Ovis aries: one gene and its partner. The protein of the gene in region 2 binds, or shares a complex with, the protein of the main gene of each other region. Links are inferred from orthologs where the notes say so. Each region holds a gene or a part of one and is shown on either strand. Other genes may lie near its edges. The genes, in order: ASB7 and LZTS1.

Evidence for each region.
Region 1: the proteins of LZTS1 (region 2) and ASB7 are in contact, whole or in part, in a crystal structure (PDB 8Y1U), measured with the Homo sapiens proteins. The link is inferred for Ovis aries from reciprocal best matches to the Homo sapiens genes LZTS1 and ASB7. Residues at the interface, in NP_001349813.1 of Homo sapiens: Arg346, Glu348, Leu349, Leu352, Met353, Glu355, Gln356, Leu358, Leu359, Glu360, Lys362, Leu363, Arg364, Ser365, Tyr366; in NP_937886.1 of Homo sapiens: Asn46, Trp48, Ala56, Ile79, Phe82, Tyr87, Met90, His91, Asp116, Trp118, Val123, His126, Tyr127, Ser147, Lys149, Thr151, Gln155, Leu156, Ile159, Arg160, Phe182, Arg185, Tyr186, Ile189, Lys190, Arg210, Leu220, Leu223.

What each region holds. Positions count from the first base shown.
Region 1 is NC_056071.1:5,418,446-5,422,262, reverse strand, and holds part of ASB7 (ankyrin repeat and SOCS box protein 7), read left to right. Parts: intron 1-144; 5' UTR 145-198; coding exon 199-409; intron 410-3,817. UniProt on the Homo sapiens protein: Probable substrate-recognition component of a SCF-like ECS (Elongin-Cullin-SOCS-box protein) E3 ubiquitin-protein ligase complex which mediates the ubiquitination and subsequent proteasomal degradation of target proteins.
Region 2 is NC_056055.1:45,556,777-45,560,593, reverse strand, and holds part of LZTS1 (leucine zipper putative tumor suppressor 1), read right to left. Parts: intron 488-3,817; 5' UTR 355-487; coding exon 10-354; intron 1-9. UniProt on the Homo sapiens protein: Involved in the regulation of cell growth. May stabilize the active CDC2-cyclin B1 complex and thereby contribute to the regulation of the cell cycle and the prevention of uncontrolled cell proliferation. May act as a tumor suppressor.

The DNA of each region.
Region 1 (3,817 bases), on a different chromosome or scaffold from region 2:
ACAGATACATGTTAATTTGTTATGGTATGAAATGTCATCACTGAGCCTTACATGAGTTAGCAGTGGAAAATTCTGGCGTATTTAATGAACACACTGTCAGGTGTCCGGTATTCTAAATTTTATGTATTGTGCCTACCCTTCAAGGCTGATCCCTGTGACCTAATGAATCCTTTGTAAAAAAACGTGGACTCAGCTAGGATGTTACACCACCATTGTCGAAGGAACCCTGAACTCCAGGAAGAGTTGCAGATTCAAGCTGCAGTGGCTGCCGGGGATGTTCACACAGTGCGGAAGATGTTAGAGCAAGGCTACTCTCCAAATGGCCGAGATGCTAATGGCTGGACCCTGCTTCATTTCTCTGCAGCAAGAGGAAAGGAAAGATGTGTTCGAGTATTTCTAGAGCATGGAGGTGAGTTTACTGGGAGCAAACCTTTTTTCCCCAAGAAGAAACAAATGAAATTCTGTTTAGTTTAAAGTAATGTGTGCATGTGTATATGTTTTTTCTAATACTCGACTTCTTCTTCTCTCCTTTGTTATAATTATGCTGTTTTGTTTAAAACCAGGTTGTCTAAAAAATTGGTTTGATGAATGTGCTTTTTTTCCCCTTGTAACTCTAGTTTCTATATAGCCAGATTTCCCCAGATTATTTCAACTAAAAGCAACCCTTCTTTAGGTTGTCCACTTGCTTTGTTTCAGAAGCAGAAGTGGCTGTGGTCCCAACAACTAAGAATTGCTCAAGTTCCCCCTGTTGAGAATTGCTCAAGCAGACAGAGATACCATAGGCCCCTATAAATACCATGGCCTTCATGATACCCTATCTTTTGAATTTACCTCTTCTAAAAGCATTTTTAGATGCTTTTATTACTGTTTTAGCTCTTGCCTTTTCTAGAATTGTACATAGTTTCTAGATATCCTACAAGATTATCTGAGGTCTAATTTTATATGCAGTTGGAAGCTACATTTACCATTTTATGTTCTTGCTTTGAAAAACTGTCCATTCCCATAATTAATAGTAACTAATAATTGTCTTAAACTCACTTGTTTCCGTATTAGATTTCCACTTAATTTATTTTCCTAGATTTACACTTGTACAAGTGTACAAGATGAACAAACATATTTTTTTGTACTAATATTATTTTCATAAATTATGATGTAAAGCAGCTTAGTTGGAACTCAGGATTCATTATGTACTACTCTAGGGCCTGGATTGCTTATTAACAATCATTTAGTTCCATTTCTGTGCTGTACTTTTGACTAGTCAAACTTGGAAACTATTTTGAAGTACAGAAAATGTTAGAAGTCGCACAGCTGTCATTAGGGTCTTGTGAATTATGTGAAGATAGGAATATGAAGGCTGTGAGCGTGGACTAACTGCTGGGCACTGCTAAACTGAGACTAGGAATCATCACATGTCTTAGTGGCCCTGAAATAAGAATTATGTCCCCAAAATAGTTGGCCATTGACAGGACCCCACCATTCGCTGGCCTGGGCCTCTTTTGTGGCTGTCCTATGCCCCTCCCTGTGGCCCTTGCTCATGCCTCAATTCGCCTTCAAACTTGAAAACGTCAGTGCGGAAGGCCGTGAAGGAGTACTGTATGAGGAATGCCAGAAGAAAGATCTGGAAAAACTAAGAAGTGGGTGTAGAGTCAGAATAGTTAAAATTCTGACACTGCTTCAGCAAAATAAGGAACAGACTCAGATTTTCAAATTCTGCCTAGTTGTGTTACTTTCTGCATCTGTCAGCCTTGCTTTTAACAAACTAATTAAAAAGGAAAGGTCAGTTACTCAGGTAATGTATGAACTTGTCTCCTTAAAACAAATAAAACACAATTTCAAATAAATTATAAATAAAGCCAAAGTCCCCTTTGGTCAGCTCCCAACCCGTGTCTGCCCACCCCTGCCTGGAAGTAACTCATGGCTCTAAGTTTGGTTTGGTCCTATTTTTCTAGATCATTTCCTAACATACTTCTAGAAAATACATCTTATTGTGTTGTCTGTGGTTTTAGAATATAAATTATATACTGACTGTGTTAAAATTCTGCAACTGTTATTTTTTGCTCAGCTATATGTAACTTAAGAATTTTTTAAATGTTAGGTTGGCAGACTTTTTCTGTAAAAGGCCAGATAGTAAATATTTGGGGCTTTGCAAGCCCTTCTTTTTCTGTTGTTAGCTGCTCAGCTCTGCCTTTGTGGCATGAAAGCTGTCATATACAGTGTGAAGGAATGAATGTAGCTGTGTGCTGGTTAAACTTTATCTATAAACACCAGTGGTGTTCTAGATTTGGCCTCTGGGTCCAGTTTGCTGAGCTCTATTTCTCCCCCCAAACCCTACTCTCTGTTTCTGTATATATGTGTATATAGATATTTTTTTAACAGCTTTTATTGAGAAATAATTCACAAACCTTACAATTTGCCCTTTTCAAGTATACAATTTAGTAGATTTTGATGTATTCATAGAGTTGCGCATCTTTCACCACAACCAACTTTGAAACATTTCCATTACCCCGAAAAGAAGTCTTGTCCCACGAAGAAGTCTTGCACCTATCCCATAGTTATGCATGCCAGTTTGTGTGTGTGTGTTTAGTCACTCAGTTACATCCAACTCGCTGTGACACCATGGACTGTAGCCTGCCAGGCTCCTCTGTCCATGGAATTCTTCAGGCAAGAATCCTGGAATGGGTTGCCATTTCCTCCTCCAGGAGTCTTCCTGGCCAGGGATCAAACCCACATCTCTTGATTCTCCTGCATTGGCGACAGATTCTTTACCACTGTGCCACCTGGGAAGCATATATAGGTTTTCTCTGTTCTTTTCAACTGCTCAGTTCACTTCAATTCAGTTCAGTTCAGCAGTCGTGTCCGACTCTTTGCGACCCCATGAATCACAGCACACCAGACCTCCCTGTCCATCACCATCTCCCGGAGTTCACTCAGACTCATGTGCGTCGAGTCAGTGATGCCATCCAGCCATCTCATCCTCTGTCGTTCACTTCTCCTCCTGCCCCCAATCCCTCCCAGCATCACAGTCTTTTCCAATGAGTCAACTCTTCGCATGAGGTGGCCAAAGTATTGGAGTTTCAGCTTCAGCATCAGTCCTTCCAATGGACACCCAGGACTGATCTCCTTTAGGATGGACTGGTTGGATCTCCTTGCAGTCCAAGGGACTCTCAAGAGTCTTCTCCAACACCACAGTTCAAAAGCATCAATTCTTTGGTGCTCAACTTTCTTCACTGTCCAACTCTTATATCCAAACATGACAACTGGAAAAAACATAGCCTAGACTAGACAGACCTTTGTTGGCAAAGTAATATCTCTGCTTTTGAATATGCTATCTAGGTTGGTCATAACTTTCCTTCCAAGGAGTAAGGGTCTTTTAATTTCATGGCTGCAGTCACCATCTGCAGTGGTTTTGGAGCCCAGAAAAATAAAGTCTGACACTGTTTCCCCATCTGTTTCCCATGAAGTGATGGGACCAGATGCCATGATCTTCGTTTTCTGAATGCTGAGCTTTAAGCCAACTTTTTCACTTTCCTCTTTCATTTTCATCGAGAGGCTCTTTAGTTCTTCTTCACTTTCTGCCATAAGAATGGTGTCATCTGCATATCTGAGGTTATTGATATTTCTCCCAGCAATCTTGATTCTAGCTTGTGCTTCTTCTAGCCCAGCGTTTCTCATGATGTGCTCTGCATAGAAGTTAAATAAGCAGGGTGGCAATATACAGCCTTGTACTTCTTTTCCTGTTTGGAACCAGTCTGTTGTTCCATGTCCAGTTCTAACTGTTGCTTCCTGACCTGCATACAGATTTCTCAAGAGGCAGGTC
Region 2 (3,817 bases):
TCCACTTACCATCTCTAGCTGATTGGAGAAGGGCAAGAGCTTTGGGGGGGTGGACGGGTCGAAGTCCACCCCTGCCTGGCCCCCTAGGTCCCCACTGGACAGTGCCGTGTAATCAGGGCGGTGGGAGCCCCGGGCCTTCTGGCTGACCTTGATGTAGAAGAAGTCTTCGCTCTTGCCCATTTTGGAGCTGGACTTGCCATGCCCTGAGTCTTGGGAGAAGCCGAACCTCAGCAGCCCGTCTGAATAGCGGTTGAGCTTCTTGAGGTGGGAAGACTTGCGCAGCTTGTACTGCGAGGCCCGGCAGTGCTTGCTGTGGAAGCCGTGGCCGGAGATGAGGCTGCTGACGCTGCCCATGGCAACACGGGGGCCGAGGACAGCTGGGGCAGAGTGGGGACCTGGCGTGGCAGGGGCGGTGAGGGGCAGTCCTGGCTCCGAGAAGAGACTGCAGTCATAGCAGAAGCCTCACAGAGCCTGGGAGAGCTGAGACCTGGAAGGAGACATAAGCAGAAGTCAGCCTGGATGGGCTGGCCATGGCACATCCCCACTCGTGACCAACCTCGAGATCTGGGCAGCAGCAAAATGCGTGTTTTCCCCTAACAGAGGCTCAGCCCTGTCTCTGTCTCAATGGGCTCCCCTCTCATTCTTCCTTTGTCCTCTAATTCAGCAAACATCTGCTGGAAGCCTCCAATGGGATGACTCTCTTCTTCTTTTTTTTTTTTTTAATTTTTATTCTTTTTTTTTAACACCAAAAACATTTTGTATTAGGGTATAGCTGATTAACAACGTGTGATAGTTTCAGGTGAATAACAAAGGGACTCAGCCATACATATGCATGGACCCATTCTCCCCTCAAACCCGCCTCCCATCCAGGCTGGCACATAACACTGAATAGAGTTCCATGTGGTGTACAAAGGTTTTTGTTGGTTATTTGCTTTAAATATAGCAGTGGGTACATGACCTTCCAAAAGTCCGTAACTATCCCTTCCCCCCCAGCAACTGTGAGTTTGTTTTCTAAGTCTGTTAGTTTTTTCCTGTTTCGTAAGCCAGCTCGTTTGTATCATTTCTTTTTAGATTCCACATAAAAGGGATGTCATATATTTCTCCTTCTCTGTCTGACTTACTTCACTCAGTATGATACTCTCTAGGTTCATTCATGTTGCCGCAAATGGCCTTATTTCATTCTTTTTAATGAGTAATGTCCCATTGTATGTATGTCCCACGTCTTTTTTGAGACGGCTCGCTTCTCAGCACTGGGATGCAGGGGTGAACAGTTCCAGTCCCTGCACTCACGGGGCTTGTGTGTGGTGAAGGGTGGACAGGCCATAAACAGATCAATGTGTGTGACCTCAAGTGATCTGTGTGCTTCAGGGGAAATAAAGCCAAGTGAATGGGATGGAATTCTGTTGTACTAGTCGCTCACTCAGACTTCTTGTGACCCCATGGACTATAGCCCGTAAGGCTTCTCTGTCCGTAGACTTTTCCAGGCAAGAATACTGGAATGGGTAGCCATTCCCTTCTCTAGGGGATCTTCCCGACCGAGGAATCGAACCCAGGTCTCCCACACCACAGGCAGACTCTTTACCGTCTGAGCCACCAGGAAGGGGAAGTGGTTCTTTTATGCAGGGAAAACAGAGGAAACCTCTCTGTTTGGTGTCATTTGAAGAGACCCCAAGAAAATGAAGGAGAAAGCTATGTAAGGAGATCTGTGGGGAGAAAGAGGAAGCTCAGGGGTAGCCCCAAGTGCAAAGCCCTGAGTCCCTGAGTGGAATGTGTTGGGCATTTGTGAGACCAGCAAGGAGGCCAGTCTGGCTGGAAGGTAGTTAGCAGTGGGGGTTTGGAGGACACAGACGTCAGAGAGCTCGTAGGTGCCAGGCAAAAGAGAGCCTGACTGGCCATAAAGGTTTTGGCTTTAGTCTGAGATAAGAAGCCCCCAGATGAGTTTAAGCAGCTGACAACTTGGTCTGACTTGGGTTGTGGAGGGTCACTCTGGCTGCTGTACAGAAAAGAGCCACTGAAGAGCTTGAGTTGGAGGTGCTGGGCCTGTTACAGCAGCTGAGTGACTAACATGGCTAGGCTAGGGTGCTGGCTGTGGATTCGATTTCTCTTCAATTTTATTTTTAATTACTTAGTCTTGACTGTGCTGGCTCTTCGCGACTTTGTGGGCTTTTCTCTAGTTGCGGTGCACGGGCTTCTCATTGCAGTGGCTTCTCTCGTTGCAGGGCATGGGCTCTGGGTTGCACGGGCTTCAGTAGCTGTGGCAACTGGGCTCAGTAGTTGCGGCTCCTGGGCTCTAGGACACAGGCTCAATATTTGTGCCACACAGGCTTAGTTGCTCTGCCGCATGTGGGATCTTCCCAGACCAGGAATTGAACCCATGTCTCCTGCACTGGTAAGTGGATTCTTTACCACTGAGCAAGCAGGGCAGCCCTGGATTCAATTTCAGATGTAATTTTAAGGTTGAGCTGATGGTACTAGTTAAAAGATTGAATGCAGGGAGGGAAAGAGTGGAATCTAGGATGACTTCAATGTTTTTTATCCAAGTATCCAGAAGAAGTAAGTTGCCATTTATTGAGATGCAAAAGACCACAAAAGGAACCAGTTTAGGATGAAGAGGGGGTGGAAATAGTACTTTGGTTTAAGACATTAAGATTGCAAAGCCCATTAGAGATCCAAGCAGTGATGTGGAGTAGGATGGGTGTGGAGCAGGGCAGGCTGCAGATTTCCCTGTGTGAGTTGTTTGTGCACAGTCTCGGAGCTAGGTCTGAGACTAGATGAAAAAGCAAGGGCAAGAAGGCAAGAGAAATATGAGGACTGGTTCACAGAGGCCAGGAAGATGAGTGGGAATGAGGAAGAGACACTAACGGATCTTTGACAGACATGCAGGAGACCCGTGAAATGTAAGGATGAAGATGGTGTCAAGTGATGCTGAACTAAGATGGCAACTAAGAATTGGTCAATGGATTTGGCTGTGCGGAGGCACCAGTGACCTTGACAAGAGTGGTTTTGGTGGAATGGTGCAAGCAAAGGCCTGACTGGAGAGGGCTCACAAGAAGAAGAGAGAAACAACTGTACTCTTGAACAATGAATAGTAACATGGGCGACTTGGTTTGGATTCCCAGTTATGCTCCCTGCCAGCTATGATGTGGAAGGCAAACTCTCTTACATCTTTACCTTCAGTGTCACAAACCAATTCTGAGATACACTTAGGGTTTTTTTTTTAAGTAACAGCACTGCATCTTATCATCAACGCTGAAAACGATAACAACGGCCTTGCCAGTCACCAGACAGAGGAATGCACCAGAAGGCAGTGCGGACACCCTCGCGGATGTAGGCGAATCGCTCAAGCCCGGGTCACCTGATTTTCAGAGCTTGGAAATGCTGTGTGATTGCCATGCATTGAGAAGGAGTATCTCAGTCAGTCAAAAGACAGATGATTCAATTAAGAAGCGGGGGGAAGGGAGGGACACGGCGAGTTTAATAAAATAGGAAATGCAGAAGGAACCCTGCATTCTTTATTCTGCTCTAAATTACCCTGTCACCTGAAAGGGGCAGAAGACATCCCACGTGGGTGAGAAGGGGGTATTATGGGCACAGCTGAGGGAGCCAGAAGACTCTTCAGACTCTGAAGATGAAGGCTCAGATTCAAACATGCATTGTCATCTTGAAGGCTAAAGTAGCTATGACATGAATAAATACATCCTATATTCCAATCATAAGAGCACCACACAACAAAACAGCGTTCCATAAGTGTAATGCATGCTTTTCTATGAAAAGCTTTTATTAAACTGATGATCTCTTAGAATCAGGGAAACATGAT